Oreochromis niloticus: one gene and its partner. The protein of the gene in region 1 purifies or fractionates together with the protein of each later gene. This does not show direct contact. Links are inferred from orthologs where the notes say so. Each region holds a gene or a part of one and is shown in the gene's direction. Other genes may lie near its edges. The genes, in order: tyrosine-protein phosphatase non-receptor type 12 and pstpip2.

Region 1 (7,522 bases):
ACCTTGGGGTTGTTGTATGGGCTTGTTACAGCAACATTCCTCCACTCAGCTGCTTCTGAACAGTACATTCCACAAAGAGAGGGAGGAAGGAAAAAAGAAGAGAGTGAGTATAGAACGAGGAAGGACTGGAAATGAAGAGTCAGTGAGAAAAAAAAAGGGGGGGGGGGGGGGGTGTATATGTTTGAGAGCCGTAGACGTATCTGTGGAGAAGGAGGGGTAAAGAGAGTGGTGATGCACTGGCAGAGGAAATTGGTAAAGGAAGGAAAAAGGGTCATAAAAATATCATGTGTAACTGATCCTCCCCCCTCTCTCCTCCTCTTGTGAAATTTTGACTCCCATCTTCTCTGCATGGAGATCAGAGGTCAGGGTCAGATGCAGTGCAACCAGAGCCAGTGCTGAGAAAAGAGAGAAGGCCACAAGCTCTTTCCTAAAATATTCCTCATCATACAGCCATAAGAGAAGTTATGCACATGCGCATGCACACACAGAGTACAGTAGACCAAAGTGCTCTTTGATGTGTGTTTATCTCCTCAGTCTGCTTGACCTGTTTCTAATGAACTGTGCTGGGAGGAAACAGAATAATCCAGCTACACAATTACATCCTTTTTTACAGACTCACAAAGAAACAGAATCAGCTTGAAATCATTATTTACGTACCTTAAAACTGACACAGTATGCCTTTCCTGCTTCCCATCCACCTGTATTCACACCTTGTGCTTGAGAGGGGCAGCCAATCAGAAGAAACGTGGGTTAAAGGAAGTGGTCTTAGAGGGAAACAAGCTAAAGTTGAACTGAGGAGCTGTGCCCAGGATTGTACACATAATAATGAGTAAGAACTTTTTATAAAGAAAGACAAAGCTACCATATGCTACAGTAACATAAGGGAAAGCAGCGGTTGGACACCAGTTGTGGTAACTTGCAGTCTTATTGTCTTCGAAGTAGTCTTTTCGAAGGCGGGGTCAGGTGCTGTCTTTAAAGAAACCTTGTTGGGTTAAGATGGTGAAAAGCTGGAGTCGGTCTGCAATAATTTATAATTAAATGGGATCAAGGTGGCAATTATGCAATCTGTTTGTGATATTACAGCAGTTAACTGGGAAAAACTGGGAAAACTGTTGCCATCTACATACACAGAAATTAACAATAACTACTTACATTCAGAGTCCAGAGAGAACCTAACAGATTTGTAACACAAATTCTTCCACAAACTCTGATGTAGTCGGTGCAGGGCGGTAATTTAACTCCAAAATGCTTTTATATAGGAATATAACCAGAGTACAACCAGTTAGCAACCTGACCAGCTGAGTCAAAGAGGTGCATCGTAGACAAGTTGCACTGAAAAGTGCAAACTGACTTAGCTTGACTGTAACATGTTGGCAATCTGTCTTCATTTATATAGTTAACCCTCACCAGTGTGTATGAGAGTAATTGCAGTCAGTCCAAGTATCGGCAGAATTGTTTGGAGACAGGTTGCCTCCCACCAGGCAACCTGTGCAACTGCCTTGTGATTGAAAGTGGTCGGCCAGAAGTTGACGGTGTTGGATGCCCAAGCTCTGTGTGAGCAGTCGGTCGCCGCGACCACTTGCAATTAGTGACTGTATGCAAAAAGATTCAGCCATGCAGACACTGGGAAACCATTAATTTTTCCTAGTTACAAGGAAGTTGCCGTCCTATTTTTAGTGTGTCTGAGCCAGTAATATGAGTATTATTAGTAAAAGTATGACATTAATAATAACATGTTCCTAAACAGTATTCTTTCCAATTTTCAATATTCAGTCAACTAAGACTAATGACCCTGGCTGCAGTGAATGGATTCAAATAATTTCTGCTCATAATATAAAGTTTTAAAAGACTTTAATGACTTTGAAAACATACATCTGTTGCCATAAAAACACCAACAATTGCACTGCAGGTTTTTGCAACTGTACAGCAATGAGAAGATAATTGATGGTTGAGATGACAACAGCAAAGACTCACGATACTGCACATCAGAGCTTACATGACCAGTCAGTTAATCATTCAGTGTCAATACAAGATAAATCAAATTCTTAAATTAAAAAAAATATATATTTTATACATACCAAAATACTAAATATTTCTTTGTTTCAGCATATGTTGGGGTCTTTTGCTGTTGTTGTTGTTGTTGTTTTTGGCTGAATAACTTTCTTAGGCTCTTTAATCCCCCAAAAATGTTCAGAATTCAGTTATTGGATTAGTAGATAATGCATCTCTTATATACAGTAACAACTAAACTATAGATTCCATTCAGTGCACAGCTAAGGGCAAGAAAGTTTGAGTCAGCTCAGAAATAAAATTAAACAACGAGAGAGAAAATGTAGGAAAGAGAGAAGGACATGAAACTGGGACAGCAAAGAAAACAGTGAATATTTACTGGGATAACAAGCAAATACGTTTAAAGACAAGAGCAACAAAAAGCAGTTTGTGTGAGGAAAGGCTTGTTGGCTCGGTGACAGCGTCCCCTCTCCTTCTCCCTCTTACTCTAGCTGAATAGATGGGTTTGTTTGTTGTCAGAGCTAGAACTAAAGGAAAACAAAGTGACTTGATTCCCCTCTGTGTTTATTGGAAGACAGTTCGTCGTGCATAAGTGTCTATTGAGTTCTCGTCCCCAGACAGCTTTATCCTGAATACCAATTTGGTTCCTCTCTTTTTTTCTCCGTCTTTGTCACTCGCACTTTCTCCTCAGTTTGTCAGTTACATCAAATTTAAATGAACTGGATGCTCAAATTAGAACCTCTTAGCATTATTACATAACACATACATAATGCCAATCTTCTGCTGTATACCATGTACTTTCAATGCTAATACATTTTCTGCTATAGTACTAATAACTACTATTGCTTTTGCTACCACAATAGTGACAATTTTACACTGTCTGCATGCCTAATTAGAATTAGAAGGCCTTTATTGTCTTTGAAACAAAACTTACAACAAAATTAAGATCAGCATTATCACTGCAAAAGTGAGTATGTGACAAAACACATCACCTAAACACACACACACTGAGTCACACTGGAGAATTAAATATGTGCGTGATACATGATACGTTTCTTTGTCTCTATTTCTGTCACATTTTAATCCAGATTATATATCTGACCCATTAATCTCTTGGCTGTTTGTTGCTTCTTTCTAGCTATCTATCTATCTATCTGTCTATCTATCTATCTATCTATCTATCTATCTATCTATCTATCTATCCATCCATCCATCTCTATCTCTCTATCTCTCCATCCATCCATCCATCCATCCATCTCTATCTCTCTATCTCTCCATCCATCCATCCTATGGCTTCATGGCAGGGTTATTTATTTGAGTTTTAGGATTATTTGTTATAGTTATTCTCTCTGATTTTAGACCACGGATAGTTAGATATTGAAAGCCAAGAGATTTCAATACATGTATGCAAATGTATGCAAACGTTTACTGATATACTCTATTTTTCTAAAAATGAATGTGATCACTGATTTAAGAAAGTGAAAAATTAAAAAAACATCCAGCAATGTTTTTCCACCGATGTGAAGAAACAGAAATGCACGAATATATACACACTCACCTCCACTTTATTAGGTACACCTGTTATAAAACAAATATCTAATTAGCCACTCATTTGGCATCAACTTAATGCATGACATAGTCATATAGACATAGTCAAGACGACCTACAAAAGTTCAAACTGAGCATTAGAATTGGGAGGAAGTTTGATTCGAGTGACTCTGAATTGTTACTGGTGTCACATGAGCTGGTTTGAGTATTTCAGAAACTGATGATCTACTGAGATTTTCAAATGGAGTTTATGGAGAATGGCCTAAAAGAGAGAAAATATTCAGTGAGTGGTATTTTCTGAGAGCAGGTTATAGAGAAGGTTATAGTAATTCAAATTACCAGCACAGATCTAGAAAGGTGTATCTGTACATTTTGATAAACAGTTCCCATTAAATTAGTATTTGTTAAGTAGCGCTGACACGCAGTGAATTGCAATATATACCTATACTCGTAAAGTGCGAAGTACTACAATACCACTGTAGGATTGAGAAATAATTTGGTTACTAAAGTTTTAGACAAATGAAATTATGTAAAATTTACACTAGGGTAGGACTATATCGTTCACGAAGATATAAATAAGTTTGTTTTCCCAATGAAATGTAATCATACGGATGACCTATTTAGATATATATAATTTAGTTGTCAGACTGTAAGAAAAAACATTTTTTTATGTGAAGCAGCATATCATCGAATAAAAACAAATAATTTTTTAAGTATCGATAAAAAATTACAGCAAAACAGTAACGCCGTTTATTTAAACGTTACGGTTTTGGATCGTAATTTATCTCACCAATGACGATTAGCGTCAAAACGACAGGCACACATTCTATCCAATGAGAACACGCTACTTGGTAGAGCGACACCCAGTTTAGCCACTTGGATTTTAATTCCTGGTCAGCGTTAGTCAATCAGATATAAGTATATCCTGGAAGGGGCGGGCCTAATTGTTCCTTGGCTTTACCCAGTCCGGATGTTCCCCAGTAGCGAATAACGAGCAGCAGTGTGTGAATGTGGCAACCGAGGTAGACAGGGAGGGGTACATAGGCTGGCCAGACCTAGGCTCTTGTCTTTTTTCCTTTATTTTTCTTTTCTCGCATAGCCAAGTGTTTACAGTTTGTGCACCGCCGCGGTTGTGAAGTTCTTTACGGGGCAGAAAACCCGGCCGCTGCTGCTTTTCTCTGGGACTAACCGCTGTCGTTGTGAAAACAGTCCAGAAGAAAGAAGGAAAGGGAGAAACAACATGGGGCGATAATAAAAAAAAAAAAAGGTGTTGTTGTGAGCGGACGATGACTCTCTGGGAGGACCCGTGAAGCTTATTTATTTTTATTTATTCCCCTCCCTTCCTTCTTCCCTCTTTCCCTGTGTCCGTTTTTGTTTTATTTTTTTGTAACATTTCCCCTACCCCCCTGCCAGTTTGGGAGATTTTTTTTTTAAAGGAAAAGGCAACAAGAAGATTGAAGGAATGGACCAAGCCGGCATCCTGAGAAAGTTTATCCAGGGGGTGAAGGCCATGAGCGAGGGGAACGATGAGAGGGGAGAGGATAACTTCGGCAGCGACTTTATGGTGGGTCAAAATTAACAGGCGCCTCTACCTAGCCTCTTGTATCCTATATCTGTCTCACATGTACCCTCTTCCCTTTATAACCTCCACCTTTTCCTCCATACTGACCCTTCATATCACACCCAGCCCCCTCCCCGTCTCCTGGTTCTCTGTGTATCCCCCAGGAGGTGAGGCAGGGGCGGCCACACTGCCCTCTTCCTTTTTCCTCCCATTTCCAGGCTTTACATGGCGGCCTAGCATTGTCTCCCATGCCACAGAAATACAACCGATTCCTGTTTCTTTAAAATTTAAAAAAAAGGGCAAATGACAAAGACGCGATATATTCTTGTCTCTCTAGCTCTTGGTTATTTATTTATTTTTTTAATGACGTTGCTGGAGCAGCTTGTAGGTATATCTTTTATTGTGGCTATATGCTTGATTGAGACACAGTGCAGTGATTCATTGTCCTCATAAGCAGTAAATATCCACAAACCTAAGCTTGATTGCATGCTTTATTTCCTGTGGTTTTCCCTGTGTTCCAGTAATAAAAAAACAAAACAAAAAACAAAACTGTCAGCTATTTATAAAATGACTTCAATTTTAGTAGAAGTTTTAGCAGGTATCTATTGTGGTCATTCATAAATTTGGCCACTTGCAAACTTGTATTTACATTTCCAATTTAACGGAAGCAAATTACAAAAAGCTCCCCAAACACTGGACCCATATAAAAAATGACCATTTAAACAAGGGTTGTCAAACCTAAGACTTGGAGGCCAAGCAAAGACGCCAATCAGAACCTACTCCAAAGTTTGGAAGACATGATTGAGGGTATAAATTTTGGACTTTTAACAGTATTTTCAAATGTTTTACAGCTTTATCTTTACTTATAAAGGCACCCACATGGCGATTCAAGCTACGGCAAAGATTTTAAAAATTAAATGCTTGAAAGGTTCCAGTTTTTTGTCTATTATAGAAATTTATGGTTGTTATATTTGTTTATTTTTAGGTCATTTATGTGTGCAATGGATACACCTAATTGTAGCATGCCATTTTACAGGTTTTTGTCTTACTATTTAAGAGTCATGCTGACAGACTTCTTTCATTTACTACAAAAAATTATTTTTCTATCATGCAGTTTTTTTTTCTCCATCTATTAAGCTCTCTCGGGTACAAACATGTAGTTAGGTCAAAGTGGGCTGTATCTGGCCCACAATGTTAAAATGAGTTTGACATCCCTGATTTAAACTAAACCTTACAACAGCATTACTTTTAATCTGGTAACTTTCTTACATGTGGAGAGGATCTTTTGAGATTAGAGATGCTTGCTGTTGAAGTAATTTTGATTACATATTTTGCGGTGACTGCTGACCCGCAGTCATTAGTTTGCCTTCACTACATAACTGGATGTCACTGTGTTGAAAGTCTGGACTCAAAATAGGACCAAGGCTTGTGAAATGGTTTAAAATGCCACAACAGGAATGTCACTCCTATAAAAACATTTCTGTCATTGAGCCCACTTTAATTTAGATATGTTTAGAAATGTTCCGGTGGAAATTGATTTACTATCTTAATTTACAGCAAGTTTACGGTTTAACAGGTTTAGACTTTCCTTCATGAGCAGCCTTATCGTCCAGCTTAGTTTCATGTTAATCATGTTGCAGTTTGATTATGTGGGAATTAAGCTCCTCAGCACCAGAATGGTTAACTTTTCCCCCCACACACAGACTCTCCTCACTTCCCTACTTCATGCAAGCTGCTTGCTGGAGCTTGCAACATTCTTTCTTGGCCCATTTCATAACATTTTGTCCTGGCTTTAAAAATGCAACTCTTTGGCACACTTTGGATCGAGGCCTCTCTCTCTCGTTCAGATTAAGTACATAACAGTTTCTGTAATAAGCGAATCTGTGTCTAATTTTGTGCTCATGACTTAGCCTTCTATCTTGTCCTTTGAGTGAGAGTTGCAGAAAACAAGGAGCTGGGAGATGTTCGGCAAAAAAAAAATTGAGTTCTCAGCTATGTGAGAGGCATTAAGGAAGTGCTTGGTGGACGAGCGTTACGGAGCTGGAACTAGTCTGCTTTTGGCTTATTTACAGAAGATTAATTTCACCATGCATGCCCTCTTTAGATGAATTTTTACGCAGTAGACTAAGTACAGTGTCCATATGTTTGTGATTTTATTGCCTGCCCGTTTTCTCTCGCCCTTAAATTCTGTTTGTAGACTCAACTGGTTAAATGCAGGTTCTTCTTTTAGCACCACTATACTTGTCATTCATAGGTTACACACGTCCACGCCTTGTCAAACTGCCTACAACAACCACACGTTGTACAGGAGGAGAACAATTTTAAAGCTTTTAAAGCTGAAAGTGTTTCTTCCCATCAGTTTTTCCAGCAAAACACCCACCAAGCGTTTTTAGGCTATTAAAT
Region 2 (7,879 bases), on another chromosome or scaffold:
GCTGGCCATTTTCTCAAAGATAATAGTCCGAAAACAAGAAGGATCGTCTTGCTTCTTACAAAACAGTGTTGAGACTTGATGTTAAGAAACAGGTTTGAGCTATTGATAGCACAGACCGGCTTTTAAACATGTTACATACGTCAGCCACATACTCAAAAAGAAATCCCCTGTTGGTCACGAGTCAACTTCCTCCTCCTCCTACTTTGTTTACGAGCGTCTAATCAGTAGTGTTAAAGGTTAAAATGGTTAAAACTTAGTATGTTTTCACTTTGCTAAAGATATATATCCTACACTATACTTTATTTCGAAAGTCACATTTAAGAATAACACGGACAATAGAAATTGACACGTACATATGTTTTTTAAAAAAGTTAGAAGTCTTAGAATGAGCTCATAACCAAATCAAAGAGAAAGCAAAACAATATGTGAACCAGTTCCACCGAAGCAACATTTCATCAGACCAGTTTGTTAACTGAAAAAAGCTCACAAACCAACCATAAAGAAAACAGTACAGAGTGAATGTACGGCAACAGTTCACAGCCACATTTTGTTTCCTGGCCGATAAGATTAGATATTTAGAAACACTGTTCACTGTTCACCATGTACAGGACAGATATCATTGGACGTATTATATAAACACAAACACAGAATATTTAAAACAACAAGCTGGAGAAAATGTTTCTTTACACCAAAACCTTGCATTAACCGGTGTCACGCAAGTTTCCGTGACTGAATTAATGCAAAAACAAACAAGGCCAACACCACTCTAATCACGTTACACACACTGGGCACGTGACCTGTTTACGCTAAAGGGTGATGAAAAACTTTGTGACGTGGAAGTCAAAGATATGTGCATTGCGCTTCTTCCTTAAAAGTGCATTATTTGCATTGTGCTTAGTACAAGCGCCATGAACTTGTTTTGGTATGCCTTCTCCTTTCGTACGAAATGGGAAGTACCTGTAAAATATACCGCTGTTTAAAATCAGGTGATACGACGGCTTAGAGAGTTGCAGTATTATTTCTTTATTTAAGGAAAAAGTATTTGCTTTTGAGAACTGAGTTAAAGTCCAAACTTTAGGATTAAGAAATCTAGATTATTGAAAGTACCACAATATAAATGTTTAATGTATGTGGCATCATGGGTCTGTTAATACCTATGCCACAATGTTTACTGTTATAGCTAGTCGGTCTGGTTTTAATATACATTCAACACCTCTTTATTAAACCTGTTCAGCTGCTCATCAATATCTCATCCAACCAATCACATGGCAGCACTCATTGCATTTACCATGCAGACAAGGTCAAGACTACCTGTGAAAGGTCAAAGCGAGTATCAGAATAAGGAAGAAAGTTAAAGTGACTTTAAAAGTCACGTGGTTGCTGGTGCCAGATGAGCTGGCCTGGAAGTTTCAAAGACTGCTGATCTATTTGAATTTCCCCACGCGTCACCATCTCTAGAGTTTTAGTAAGAGAAAGAGAAAATATCCACTCAGCTTAAAGCAAAAGAGGAAATTCCGGCCTCAACTCCCAGTGGCTTTTCATGGTTAGACAACAGAATATTCGAAAAGTGTTGCCTGGCCTGAGTCTTGATGACCAGAGTGTACCAATCTTTTAATCCTGCTTCCAGCCTCTATGCCACAAATAATTAATAAAGCCATACTGAAGGCTGAAGCTGGCCCAACCCTGTACTAACAGGGTGTAAACTAGTCAGCAGTTTAGCCTAGTGGCTGCTAAACACATGATGGGCCTCCTTTAAAGGGCCATGTAATTAAGAGCGAATTTAGATTGAGAGCAAATTTCAAATTACATTTCTGCATTTTTTTTTTTAAAAAAAAAACATATAGAAAGTGAAAAATTATGTACGATATATTTATGATCCCCTCATCTTGCCTGGTATCTGTCAGGGTACCTGGGTGTTGGACCCAACTTTTGTCATTGATTAGTTTCCCATGTATGTTTCCTGGTTAGTGTGATAGTCTTTTGTCTCGTCTGCATTATGTCTAGTTCTACTTCCCCTGTGACATTAGTTAGATTTATTCCAGCTGTGATCCCACCTGTTTCCTGTCCGTTATCCTGTCTGTTTAAGCCCTCGTTTCCTTGTCTCGTTGTCCTCAACTCCTCGTGTGTGTTTCCAATGTAGTTAAGTCATTCATGTTCAGTTCAGTCTCTGTAATAAATCCCTACTCCATTCCAAACCAGCCAGAGAGTCCTGCATTTGGGTCCTCTCTCTCTTCTCCACACACCTGAATGTGACAGTATCCACTTAGCAACAGGCTGAACAGATCCTGTCATTTTCCTTTCATAACAATAACACGAAACAGGCATTTATTAGTATACTAAATATGTATACAGTGGTATAATTCTATGTATATTTTTATGTCTCTCTATATATAGTACTTGTATGGCAATAAAACAATTTTAAAGGTTAGTGGGAAAATGTCTTTATATTTTAATTACTGTACTACTACTATTATTGTACTACAGTAAACGTACTTAAATGGGGCAAATCTAAGTGGCACCACTGCACATTTCACACAGCTGCTAGTTGTCCACAGAGCTCAGTGGTCACATGGTTACAGCAGGTGTGTCATTGCTGCTGATAACAGCATTGTAAAATGCATTGGCCTCTGAGGTTTTCTTTTATTGCCAGGTCCTTAAGGTACAAGTATATGTTTTGAATGTAAATCAACAGGCTTATCATGGTTTCTCTCTTGTGCAGTCTTGTGACCTTTTTTATGAAAGTTTGTGTTGTTTTGCAACGTCTCTGAGAGGAAATCACCCCATTAATCTTCCACTTCATGGTTGGGGTTTGTGTGAGTGACATTGCTTTGGTGGAAATAAATAAATAAATTGGAAAACACACTGACTTTTTTGGGGGGCTTTCAGGGGTAGGTTTGAAGTCGGTGCTTGTGTTATTTGTGATGGGAGCAGGTAGCTTGTGTGAACAAAAAAAAGTTGACAGGCTTTGACCTTTGTTTGTGTAAATAGTGACAAATGAAGAGTACACAGATGTGACATTAATAGTCAAGCTGTTCGTTAAATAAGCCGTTCATTCCATCTGGGTTGAAGTGAATTCAGATCATTTAATGTAAAAATTCTTAGGAAATGTAACTTTACCTAAAGGTATGCATATATTTATATGTAAATATTAAACACTTGTTCCCTATTATATATTATAAATTAGCAATAATATTATAACTGTCGTATTCATGTGGTTAAAGTGGAAAAAATTTTAAATTAAGAATTAAATTTTGATTTATTAGATTATTATTAAAATTTATTTTATTTGTATGGTCAATTTGTGAGACAGCAAAAACATGTAAATGGATTCTCTGTAAAGCTAAGGTCAGCTGGGTTTAAACTTACCCTGAGTTAAGTTTAACCTGTGTAGGACCCTAACCCACAGCAGCCCATGCCTGATTTTTAATGTGTTACAGGGCTCAAATCAAAAATCTGTGTGACACTGGTACTACTGGTGCTTATGGAATGCTGTTCCATAAGCACCCACACTGGAAATTCCTTTGCTGGTAAATCAGAACATCCAAAACATCAATTTATATTGGAATAATATAGAAACTTGAGTGAAGATACACCCCCTCCTTTTTTGTCTGTCTAATTACTTCCTGTCCGAGATCAACATGCTAGACATGCACATTAATACTTGTATGAATAAGTGACACAAATACTCAAACTATACTGACTGGCGTGTGATGGGGAAATTCTGAAGTGGCATGTTTTAAAATTTATGAGAAATAGGACATCATAGCTTGTTTTGAGTGTTCATGTTTGTTCTTTTGTATAATTCATCTATTTGTATGCTGTCTACTCGTTGTTTGTTCAGTAAAGTTCATTTATTTAAAAATAAAAAGTAACTGCAGCTGTGTAAAAGCGAAATGTTGCCCTCTGCTGTCGGGGACCTGAAGTACAACGTAGTTTAAAAAGAAAATGATAAACGAGAGTTGTGTGTCACTACAGTTAATATAATTACATATGACCGCTGCACCCTTACAACCTTTGAAAAGTAAAACTAAAGCCAACTCAGGTAACTGATTAACTTATTAACTGATATTAATTAATAACACATGTAGAATGATAAGAATTCTTGTGCCTTTAATGTGCACAAGAATCAAGACAGAATAAAGCCCAGCTACAAAAACCACGACACAGATAAAACCAATGAAATAAAATCCAAACATAAATATGAATCCTATCTGGTTTCTAGTTATTTAGGAGTTACACAGTGTAATAGCCACCGATAGAAAGGATCGAAAGGGATAGTTCAGTCCTGCACCTTGGGACAATGATGGATTGTCCCTGATGCTGAAGAGGTTGTTCATTAACATGGGCTATTTTGAATCTTCAGCAGTGAAAGGCTCAAGGGCAGTTAATCCATTACTGTGCTACTGCTGGTATTACAGCACTGTAAGGTTTTCCTATTTGTCTACACTGTGTTTATTTAACAGCACTATTTACCGATTACGTTACAAATTAGGATTTCATATGTTTTCTTACAGTGTACTACTTTAGTTTTATTTGTTGTTAGGGATCAACCCCCTCAAATGAACTACTTAAATCATGTTGTATTTTCTTCTTCTTGTTGTTCTTCTCAACATTATTATTAATATTAATATTATCATTATTATTATTATTATTATTATTATTGTTATTATTATCGGACCAGTTTATACCAACTGTAAACACTGTAAGTACGCCCATTAGCCATCAGATGGCGGCAAAACCAAGCTCAGCGCAAGAATCCGATGAAGTTTTTGGCGCTCCAGTTGTCACGTGACTGCGCTTGCGTCACTTTGACGGGCTTTGCCTGACAGACTCAGCTCTTGCCTGACAGTCGGCACTTTCTCTTACATGATCAGAGAGTGCTTGCGATAAAGCGCCTGTCTGCTGCCTGCTCCGTTTACATGATGAAGAACCTTCATTTTAAGGATTTCTTCTGGGTGAGGTTTTTTCTTGTCTTTTTTGTTTGTTTGTCTTTCTGTGAAGTTGTGATTGGAATTTGAAACATTTTATTTTTTGATTCAGCTTCAGATGGTTTAATAAAAAATTGTATTTTTGTATTGTATTAATTATTAGAAACGGGAATCCTGTTGAGGGATCTAACGTTCGTAAAATAGTATGGAAAGAGGAGCATCAAAACTAAGCTATTAAAAACACTTGATATGAACTGATGGGGAGTTTTTGGTAATGCAGTCATGTGTAACCTGACCAATGTTTTATCAGATCACGTTTCTCTCTCTGCAGTGTAAATAGTAAATGTCATTTCCTTTAGTGGTGTAAAGAGTAAACTGAATAATCCAGCAGATTAGAGTGGAAATACTGAGAGTACCAATAACTTCTACGCAACATAAGCAAATATGTGTAGTTAAATTTCACTGCAGGATTTTTGCATTGTCTAAGTATGGCCTCATATGGTGTATTTTAAACCAATAGAAAGTCTGGCAAGTTGATTATAAGCTGTTGCCCTCACCTTAACTAAATTACAGAGATGCCTAGTCCCAAACATTAATTACACTCAGAGTCAATTATTCTGAAGCTACAGTGCTCGTTTATGTCTGTAGGGATGTTTAAACAAGTTTAGCCAGAGCGTGGCTGTCCTACAGTTAACCTGGGTGTGGGAGTAGAGGTAGCAGAGGTACAGCTCTCTGTTTCTTTTAAGATATGTGCTTTGCTGTAAAACTGTCTGCTGTAATACTGTCTGTGCATCTTGCTGACAGAACTCGGACCTGACCTCCACTATCGGGTATGATGCCATCATTCAGTATCTCAATGATGGCAAGAGGACATGCAAGGAGGTGGAGGATTTCATGAAAGCCAGGTAATGCCGTCATCCTTATATATAATAATGCACAACTGATGGGATGTTTGGCTCTAACCAAAGTCTGGAAAACTGTGTTCAAGCTTTACATTTACAGGCCAGTTGTTGCTATCAATGTAACTGACTGCAAGATAGGTAGATGTAGTGCAGGTTTTGGCTGCAGGCATGCAATTAGGATGAAGAGAGTGAAAAGAAAATAAACTCTAAGAACGACAAGTGTAGTGGAGGAGGACAGCATTTAGAGCATTTTGAGATTAAGGACAGTACTGGAATACAACAAATAAAGTTGCCTAAAAAAGTAAATTTTAGTTGCTATAATCTAAAAAAAAAAATCAGATAAATACATATTTTGATTATTAATTATATAGTCAGTCAAACACAAACACGTCCTACCGTCTTGTAATTTGTGCAAAGCGCACTATCGCAGTTATATGATTAAATACCAGAAAAGTAGTAAAATTCTGCTTTCTAAAAATTCTCTAAGGTTAATTCTGCACACTGTTGATGAGATGAGAGATGATGAGATAGCCTTTATTTGTCAGTTGCAGGTCTTTTGCCCGCAACCGAGATGACAGACCTTGCCGACCGTACATACAATACACAAACATCACATTGGGGAGACAGGTCAGGCTAGGTAGCGAGGAAATAAACATCGAAATGTGTAACACAAAAGGATAATACAGGAATGCACAGATATCAACACACCATAGCACAATAAACACAGACAAGCAACATGGGAAAGTGTTCCAGTGTGTACATCTGATCTGGGACAGCTGCAATCTTTCGACTGCGCCTCCAACTGACCCGATGTCCACATCAGAGGGGAGGTAAGCGTTGGAGGTGGCGTTGGATCCGGGGTAGGGAGGGGTGATGCGTCGGTGGATCACAGTAGAGCAGAAATGAAGTCCCAGTCAAGCAGGAATGATGTGACGCATCAGGTTTTATAATAGAGACGTATAAACTTTCACATCTAATCATTAATTCATCTTCCTCTTATAATAATTAATCTGTCCGTGCTCTCCCACACACACATACGCATACCAAAAAAACAAAAACACTCCACACATATAAAAGTCCAGTGTGTAGTCAGAAACGTGACCTAGTGAGGTTAATGCTATGAAAAAAGGAGGATATTATGCCAAAACATAACTGTACGTTTCCTAATTTGGGACTCACCATTTTTAAACCGCAGTGGTTTTAACAGTAATTGTGGGAAGATTTACCAAAATAAAAGTAGAGTAAGGAAACATGGTCAGAATGAGGTGTTTTGTGGGAAACGGCGGCAACAGTCGAATTCTTTCAGCTTTCGGTTATGCAAAAACAAATTCTTCAGGACACCAAAGAGCAGCCACGACAGCCCGCCGGTGTGGAGGGAGGACTCAGGTCAAACTTAGTGTGAGAACTTCCTGGTTTAGGTTGTTTGAGTCGCATGTTTTATGATTTTTTGTAAATAGTGTTAACTATATCTTGATCTGTGGCTGTGTAATTATATTTGAGTCTGTTAGAGTTGCATTTTATTTTAAGTCTCCTATTAGCATTGATAAGCAAATTAAGCATATTTTAAGCGGTCAGCATTATAGCATGCTCATGCATTTGTATAGTAAAACTGTATTCAGTTGTATATTTATATGTATGTTTTTTTTAATATTTATCATTGTACAATGCATATTAGAATTGATAAATTATTTTCCATTTTCTTCTCCAACGTTGCATCAATGTTCCTGTCAAAACTCTTCAGAGAAAGAACAGACTCCAATTATAACACCACACATGTAAATGTTGTCCTGTCTTTTTTGTATCAGTTAATAATTTAATATGTAAATTTATAACTTCTAAAAAATACTGATAGTGAAGCCTAAGGGATGTATAAATGTAAATTTATGATAAAGCATTACCTTTCAGAGATGTCTAGTATGGGTTTTGCATGTAAATTCATATACAGTCTGTTGGCTGGCAGACTGTTCTGTTTGTTGGCCGAATCTTTGCATGTATGCTTTTACGCTGCCCTCACTCTCAATGGGTTGTTTCTTTCAGGGCATCAGTTGA

Evidence for each region.
Region 2: the proteins of tyrosine-protein phosphatase non-receptor type 12 (region 1) and pstpip2 purify together in Homo sapiens (affinity purification with mass spectrometry; 4 studies listed by BioGRID and IntAct, counting the BioPlex papers as one, with this or other methods). This does not show direct contact. The link is inferred for Oreochromis niloticus from reciprocal best matches to the Homo sapiens genes PTPN12 and PSTPIP2.

The regions. Positions count from the first base shown.
Region 1 is NC_031981.2:9,889,448-9,896,969, forward strand, and holds the start of tyrosine-protein phosphatase non-receptor type 12, read left to right. Parts: upstream 1-4,507; 5' UTR 4,508-4,822; exon of another isoform or gene 4,823-4,970; 5' UTR 4,971-5,020; coding exon 5,021-5,122; intron 5,123-7,522. UniProt on the Homo sapiens protein: Dephosphorylates a range of proteins, and thereby regulates cellular signaling cascades. Dephosphorylates cellular tyrosine kinases, such as ERBB2 and PTK2B/PYK2, and thereby regulates signaling via ERBB2 and PTK2B/PYK2.
Region 2 is NC_031972.2:17,158,929-17,166,807, forward strand, and holds the start of pstpip2 (proline-serine-threonine phosphatase-interacting protein 2), read left to right. Parts: upstream 1-4,807; 5' UTR 4,808-4,919; coding exon 4,920-4,955; intron 4,956-5,732; coding exon 5,733-5,833; intron 5,834-7,867; coding exon 7,868-7,879. UniProt on the Homo sapiens protein: Binds to F-actin. May be involved in regulation of the actin cytoskeleton.